2 linked regions of the Stegostoma tigrinum genome follow. The protein of the gene in region 2 purifies or fractionates together with the protein of the main gene of each other region. This does not show direct contact. Links are inferred from orthologs where the notes say so. Each region holds a gene or a part of one and is shown on either strand. Other genes may lie near its edges.

Evidence for each region. Proteins that work in one complex are often made in the same cells at the same time.
Region 1: the proteins of exosc10 (region 2) and exosome complex component RRP40-like purify together in Homo sapiens (affinity purification with mass spectrometry; 8 studies listed by BioGRID and IntAct, counting the BioPlex papers as one, with this or other methods). This does not show direct contact. The link is inferred for Stegostoma tigrinum from reciprocal best matches to the Homo sapiens genes EXOSC10 and EXOSC3.

Annotation. Positions count from the first base shown.
Region 1 is NC_081354.1:15,917,319-15,921,070, reverse strand, and holds the start of exosome complex component RRP40-like, read left to right. Parts: upstream 1-1,156; 5' UTR 1,157-1,218; coding exon 1,219-1,434; intron 1,435-3,192; coding exon 3,193-3,342; intron 3,343-3,752. UniProt on the Homo sapiens protein: Non-catalytic component of the RNA exosome complex which has 3'->5' exoribonuclease activity and participates in a multitude of cellular RNA processing and degradation events.
Region 2 is NC_081381.1:39,425,899-39,429,650, reverse strand, and holds the start of exosc10 (exosome component 10), read right to left. Parts: upstream 2,802-3,752; 5' UTR 2,779-2,801; coding exon 2,674-2,778; intron 1-2,673. UniProt on the Homo sapiens protein: Catalytic component of the RNA exosome complex which has 3'->5' exoribonuclease activity and participates in a multitude of cellular RNA processing and degradation events.

The sequences.
Region 1 (3,752 bases), on a different chromosome or scaffold from region 2:
GGATATGATGTCTCTTTTGCCATAACTGTTATTTGAATCCTGTTTCTGATAAGTACAAGATGAAAAGTTTCTGATCTCCTTCTAGCAATGTTAAGAATAGATCAAGGTAAGTATAAGTCAAGCATGTTGCATAAAGCAAGTTAAAGTTTTATTGCACTTTCCATAATTTTAATGTTACAAAAATTTACTTTGTAAACGTTTTGTGAATAATTTTTGCAGAAAAAGACAGCTCTGGTCAAGTTCCAATCATGTGATCTGGGAGGACGGAAGTTTCTTTATAAACAACATTAACCCAGATGTGTTCTGCTTTCACAATCTCCTTAAGTTGCAGGCCTTTTACCTTCAGTAAGGTATTCATACTCGATGAAGTGATACTTATGAACGTAAGAACAAGATGTGGAGAACCAAAGGATTCAATAGATATTTATTACAGCATCTGGCATCTGCACGTTACAACCACAAACGCTTGTGTGTCTGGGAATAAAGCAACACAATTCAGATGTAAACTGCAGTACAATTCTCTCTGAGCATAATGCTGCAAGAAGACACAGTAAAATGGAGACCGAGAATTTTATACCATCAGGCCCATGCAATGATTTTATGAGAATGTATATTTTTGCAATATTGGAGAGTTGACGACTATGAGGAGCCAGAACGCAAGTAGAGTCAAGGCCTGGGACAGATTGGTCATGAATCCTTAAAGGGCTGAATGGCCCACTCCTGCTTCTATTTCTTCCATTCTGATGCTGTCTCTGTCTCTTGCATCCTTGTTTGGATGAGCGCAAGGTGAAAAGTTTCAATTCAGTGACCCTTCGGGCTCAAAACTTTCAATCTGTTTCTCTCGCCACAGTTGCTGCCAGACCTGCTGAGTTTCTCCAGAAGTTTCTGTCTTCGTTTGAGAATTCCAGCATCTGCAGATCTTTGTTTTATTCCCGTGTTGAAATTTACCTGATCGCCGGGCTCGAGTCTGGATTGACTTCAGGACGCTACCCTCGATCTGAGGCTATACAAATGCACATTGTTGTTTATTGTCCTGGGAGGGGGCTCTACGATGGCGTCACGAGGAGGCGGGCGCAATGGTGACATCGTGCGGGGGTGCGCTGACGTCATAGAATGACTTCAGTGCGTCGACGTTGTGAGAAGGCGGGGTCTGCGTACTGACGTTCGACGTAGCGCCGCGACGCAAGGCAGGCCCAGTCACGTCTTCCCCGAGGAGGGATGGAACGGCCCGCAGCTGGGGCCGTCTCGCAGGTGGTGCTGCCTGGGGATGTGCTTACCTTCCCTCCCAACTCCGGGGATAGGGTCTTGTGCGGGCCCGGCCTGAGGCGACAGGGCTGTGGGCAGTTGTCCGGACATGCTCTGGTGGCCTGCAAGTCCGGCGTGCTCCGGCACAAGGAGCCCTCCGTCTACTGGGTGGAGTCGCAGCAGAAACGGGTGAGGGAGGCGGGTCAGATCTCTTCCCCCACAACGCTCACTAATGAGGTGTCAGGCCTAGGATGGGTGTAATGGGCCCCGGTGTAGGGGATGCTGGAGGTCCCTGTGGATTGTGGGATCCTGGAGGAGTATGAGTCCGGTGCAGTGGAGGTCCAGGCGGTATGATGCTGTGGGCTGGGGACAGTAGGGGAAAGGGGATTACGTTTTTCCCGGGTGGGGGAGGGGTGTTGTGGAAGTCCTGAGGAGTATGGACGTTGGGGGCTGGAGGGGAGGGGGGTACAGTGGTCACAGGTGTGGAGGGACTGGGTACTGGAGTTTGTGGGGTGTGGGAACTGGTGGTGTGGTGCTGGAGGACGTGGTGGGGAGGGAGCAAAAACAAAAAGTGCTGTGAAAGCTCAGCGGGTCTGGCAGCATCTGTGCAGAGAAATCGGAGTTAACATTTCAACAGCGACAGTATCCGCATTTCTCTTAGTTTTTATGGTGTGGAGGGAGATGAACTGGGTCTAGGGATTGAGGAGGGAGCAGTGTAGTAAATACATCAGTGAGACTTGAGTTGCTCTTTAATGAATCATGGCACTTTTACAAACTAATGTGCTTAAGATGTATCACCCATTCCATGGTGTAGGAAGAGAAAATCAACTTCTTATCCTTTGAGCAGTGCTGGAAGTGCAATTAGGTGCATACTGATTGAAGTCCAAATTAAATTCAGCTATTTTATATTCCACCCTGAACCCATCTGTTTGTTTTCTGGTTAGTAAATTGTTTAAGACATGAAAATTCATTCTGATATACAAATCTCCACATCAAATTACTGAGAAATTTGTGCAAGTTAGGAGATGATGTTTGGTCACTTCCCAGATTTATATGTTGAAGTATGTGGGAAGTGCTACTGAAGTTTACAGAAACAGAAATTGCTTGAAAAACAAGGTCTGGCAGCATCTGTGAAGAGAAACTTTTAGTCTCCTTTAGCAATGTTTAATGTATCAGGTCCAGTAATCCTCCTGCAGAACTGAAGCTTTGCCAACTTATTTGCACAGAAGAACTATTTGAATAATTGAGATAACAAAGTATGGAGCTGGATGAACACAGCAGGCCAAGCAGCATCTTAGGAGCACAAAAGCTGACTTTTCATCTAGGCCTGAAACATCAGCTTTTGTGCTCCTAAGATGCTGCTTGGCCTGCTGCGAATATCCCGCACCACACTTTGTTATCTTGAATTCTCCAGCACCTGCAGTTTCCATTGTCTCTGATCATCATTATATTTGAATAATTGTTGTTTTCACTCAAATTCTTGGTAAATTTTTGATTTTATGATGCCTGATGTGGTTCAAAAGCTCCCTTGGGCAATGTGAATATATTTGCCTTAAATAGAATGTAAGAACCAAAAGAACTGTGGATGCTGTAAATCAGGAACAAAAACAAAGTTGCTGGAAAAGCTCAGCAGGTTTCTGAGGAAGGGTCACCGACCTGAAACGTTAACTCTGTTTTCTCCTCCACAGATGCTGCCAGACCTGCTGTGCTTTCCCAGCAACTTTGTTTTTGTTCTTTAAATAGAATGTGCCTGATACCCTGAGAACACTGAACAAATTGGTGATTTTAAGCAGAGATTTCCATTGTTGCCTATTTATTTGCTGCTTGGAGTGCGTTTAAGAAATTCAGCTGCATTTTTTTCCAGAATTTGTAACTATAACTCAGAATTTAATGCCGAGTAAATTACATCGGAGAAGAATTTAAAAGTGTCCTTTTGCATTTTTTCAGTATGTGCCAGCTAAAGGAGAATACGTGATAGGAATTGTGACTGTGAAGTCTGGTGATATATTCAAAGTTGATGTTGGAGGAAGTGAGCAAGCCTCGTTATCATATTTAGCATTTGAAGGAGCTACCAAGCGAAATCGACCAAATGTCCAAGTAAGAATTTTTTGTAAAGTTTTAGTCTTAAACTAATGCTTAAGATGCAGATTAGTTTAGTATTCTGTGTAATTGTGATAGCTCTATCAGAGGTGTTGATGGTTTGGCTTGATGCATGATCAAATTTCTAATCGTTTTAATCCTTCTAAGGCTGATGACCTACCAACTGCAACAAGGTGACCAGGATCATGACTATCACTAATTTTAGGAAAGTTTATGTTTTAGAATTTTTAACCAATTTTGGGTATACATAAATTTTACCAAATACAGATATACAATAGCAAAAAGGCCAAAATCTGGGCATCTGAATGCAGAGCCATAGATTTGACTTGTCTACACTAATCATTTCCCTGTTACAGGAGTTGGTGCAATCAAGATTCATCGTGTAATGTCTATATAGAAATATGACC
Region 2 (3,752 bases):
ATTTAGAAGGGTAAGTAGTGAATATTCTTGACAAAATCGATGTTGAAATGATATTTCTTCTAGTAGGAAAATTGAGAATTAGGTGATATGAATTTAAAAATTATGAGTTATCCTTTTCGGACAGACGAGAAGAATTTTGTTCTCTTGAGTGTTTAACAACTTGGAACTCTGTCTCAGAAGTTGGTGTAAGTGGGAGCACTGAATATCTTTAAGGCAGGGACAGATTGATTTTCTTACCTTACAAGAACTCAAAGTTAGTGGAAGTAAGTGGGAAAACAGATTCAAAACATAAACAGATGAGCTATGATGTTATTGAAATGGACAGCAGGGTTGAGGTGCCAAATGGCACTGCGTTGCTGGAATAGCAAGAACTGCAGATGCTGGAGTCAGAGATAACAAAATGTGGAGTTGGAGGAACACAGCAGGCCAGGCAGCATCAAATGAGCAGGAAAGTTGACTTTTGGGGTCAGAACCCTTCTTCAGATGTTCCTCTGATGCTGCCTAGTCTGCTGTGTTCCTCCAGTTCCACACTTTGGCCCCATGCTGCTCCTATTTTGTATGTGTGTGGAAAATAAAGCAGAACAAAATCAAAGCGGTTTCAGCTAGACACTATTAATTATAGGGTGATGAGAAGGAAGTTGATCTCAGATTCAAATGACAATCAATTGCCTCTCAAAAAGCAGAAAATGAACTCGGAGTTGGAAATAAACTAAATGTCAGAAATGATCTCTGTTGTTTTGTATATAATTTATAATGTAAACAATTACAGTAAGTCAAAGTATTTCTGGCATCACTTTGAGGCAGAGATGGTGTAATGATAACATCAGCGGAGTAGAAATCCAAAAACACAGACATAGGCTTGGGTTTAAGTGGATTTAAAATCAATTGATAGATCGGGGATATAAAACTAATCCCAGTAACAGAGAAGCAAGACTACCATTAAGCATGTAATTAACTTCCTCCCCTCCACTGAGTGCAGCAGTTCAACCAGACACTAACACCACACACAGCCCATTGAACAAATAAAGGGAGTTTATGTTTACTGAGGATAATTTGCATGCAATTTCAATTCCACAAACATGGTTGCTTCTTGACTGCTCTTGGAACTAACCCAGTCAATTGCTCAATTAGATGAAATCACTAAAAAGAAGTGACTGAAAAACAAATTCCAACACTGTTTTCTGATGACAGCTTGACAATCAATACTTGGGTTAACGATTTCGATAAGGACAAATTATTTAGTTTATACCTCGGCACAATTATTGACAACAAAAATAGAAATTGCTGGGAAAACTCAGTCCTGGCAGCATCGATGAGAGAAAGCAGAGTTAACATTTTCGGTTCAATGACCCTTCTTCAGAACTGAACGCAGCTGGGAACTGGTTGGTATATCTGTGTCAGAGGTATCATGGATGTATGTGGGCAGGGATTAAACCTGGGGAGAGAAGACTAGGTCAAGGTAGGTACAGATGAGTTCTGTAGGGCAGGAGCAGGTTGAAACAAGGGGTCTGCCCAGACAGTCCAGTTTGTGGTTTTTTGGAAAGAGGTATGAGGAGGTAGGTGTATTCACCATTCCTCCTAACCTTCCAATCTCCGATGCTAAATGCTCTGCACACAGCAAAGGCCTCAGTTTTATTCCTCTGTATCCCAACCTTAACAAACTTGAGGCACGACATGACGTCAAACTCTTCTTCTGCCATCTTCGCCTCCATGCCCATTTCTTTAGACAAGCGTCTTCTCCCCTTCGCCCAGTCTGGTCTTTTACCTAAGTTTGATCTGTTCCTGGAGAACTGTCAACGTGATATTGACACCTCAATTTCTCTGCCTCCCTCACCAAATCCAACCTATCTCCGACATTAACCTAGCTACCATCAGTTCTGAGGAAGAGTCAATGGACCCAAAACATCAACTCTGATTCTTTGCTTCACAGACACTGCCTGACCTGCTGTGCTTTTCTGGCACCTTCTGTTCTCATTCTTGATTTACAGCAACCACAATTTTTTTTGGTTTATAAGGTTAATGACTGTTGTGAATACAATAGCCCAATGTTGGATGGAAGACTTATGGTCCAGAGGGAGAAGGAAGGCACCTGAGAGCTAGTGCTCAGCATGCCAGACAACAGCAGCACCACAATGGCTAGACTACAAAGTCAGGACTGAATTGGAGAACACAAATTGCAGTCAGTTCTTGGTGGGGGAGGGGAGTGGGGTTCGAGGGCAGAGAAATTGAAACGGCCAAAGTCACGTCCCAATCTTGAGCTGCTGCCTGATCAGAGATAGTAGGAACTGCAGATGCTGGAGAGTCTGAGATAACAAGGTGTCATTTCTGAAGAAGGGCCCAGACCAGAAACAGCAGCTTTCCTGCTCCTCTGATGCTGCTTGGCCTGATGTGTTCATCCAGCTCTACACGTTTCATTTATGTATCGCTCATGACCATCCCTGTTGTGCTCTCCTGGTCGGACGGCAGCACAGTGCATACAGTCGGGGGGGGCGAAGAAGTGAAGGCACATGATGTCTCGTGGCAACAGATCCAGCAAGAGAGAGAACACATCTTAATGACGGCCTCCCATCGCCCTCCCTGGGCTGATGATGTCTCCTCCGTGTTGAAGAACACACGAAGGAAGGAGAAGAGACAGGGATCCCGCCCCCAGCACCCGCATACAACAGCGCCAACCTTCACGAAGCTATCCGCGTCACTAAATCCCGGGATGGGGCCGTCACCGTTGAGAGGCCTCTCTCCCGGATCCTGATGCTCCTCCGCACAGCCCTGCGCCGCCATTTTGCCGACTGACAAACTCTCGCGCAGGGGTGGGACGGAGAGGGAGAGACTCTCGCGAGGCTCGGGAAATGCCTAACCACGCCCCCCAGCGGAAGGGACTGAGCCGCCCCGGCTGGCGGCTGGCACGTGGGGACAATACGTGGGCGGGCGCAGACTGGCGCGTCACGTGGTGTCGGCGCGTCACGTGGAGGACAATCCCGCGCTGACTGAGGAGGCGCGTGTTGGAGAGCCCTGGTGCAATGTGCCTGTGCCATGGTGGTAGTGTTCCCACATCTGAGCCAAGAAGCTCAAGTCTGTCCTTCTCCAGAGGTGTGTAAATAATGTCTCTCAAACAGAGGAAAAAGGGTCCAGATCAGCTTTCCTGCTCCTCTGATGCTGCTGGGACTGCTGTGTTCACGCAGCTCCAAACAGCCTGATCGGAAAGAATGTGGTCTCCAGCCTGGCCCCTGTGCGTGCTGACCCATTCCCTGATCACATTTCCCTGGTGCTCACTGTTCCGTGGCAGTGCTGCGTTTGGGGCAGCACAGTGGCTCAGTGGTTAGCACCGCTGCCTCACAGCGCCAGGGACCCGGGTTCGATTCCACCCTCAGGTGGCTGTCGTTGCAGAGTTCGCACATTCTGCCGGTGTCTGGGTGGGTTTCCTCCGGGCGCTCCGGTTCCTCTCACAGTCCAAAGACGTGCAGGCTAGGTGGATTGGCCATGCTAAATTGCCCCATAGTGTTCAGAGATTTGTAGATTAGATGGGTTTTTAGGGGGATGTGTCTGGTTGGGATGCTCCAAGGGTTGGTGTGGACTTGTTTGGCTGAAGGGCCTGTTCCACACTGTAATGATTCTTTGATTATTGGAGATGCTGTCTTCTGAATGTGAGGTTCTTGAAACCTGCAATGCTAGTGTTGTAAGTGGAGCTAGAAGCTCTCGTGAGTGATCTGAGCAGCAAAACCTATTCCTTGGCTAACAATCCAAAGAATCTGATA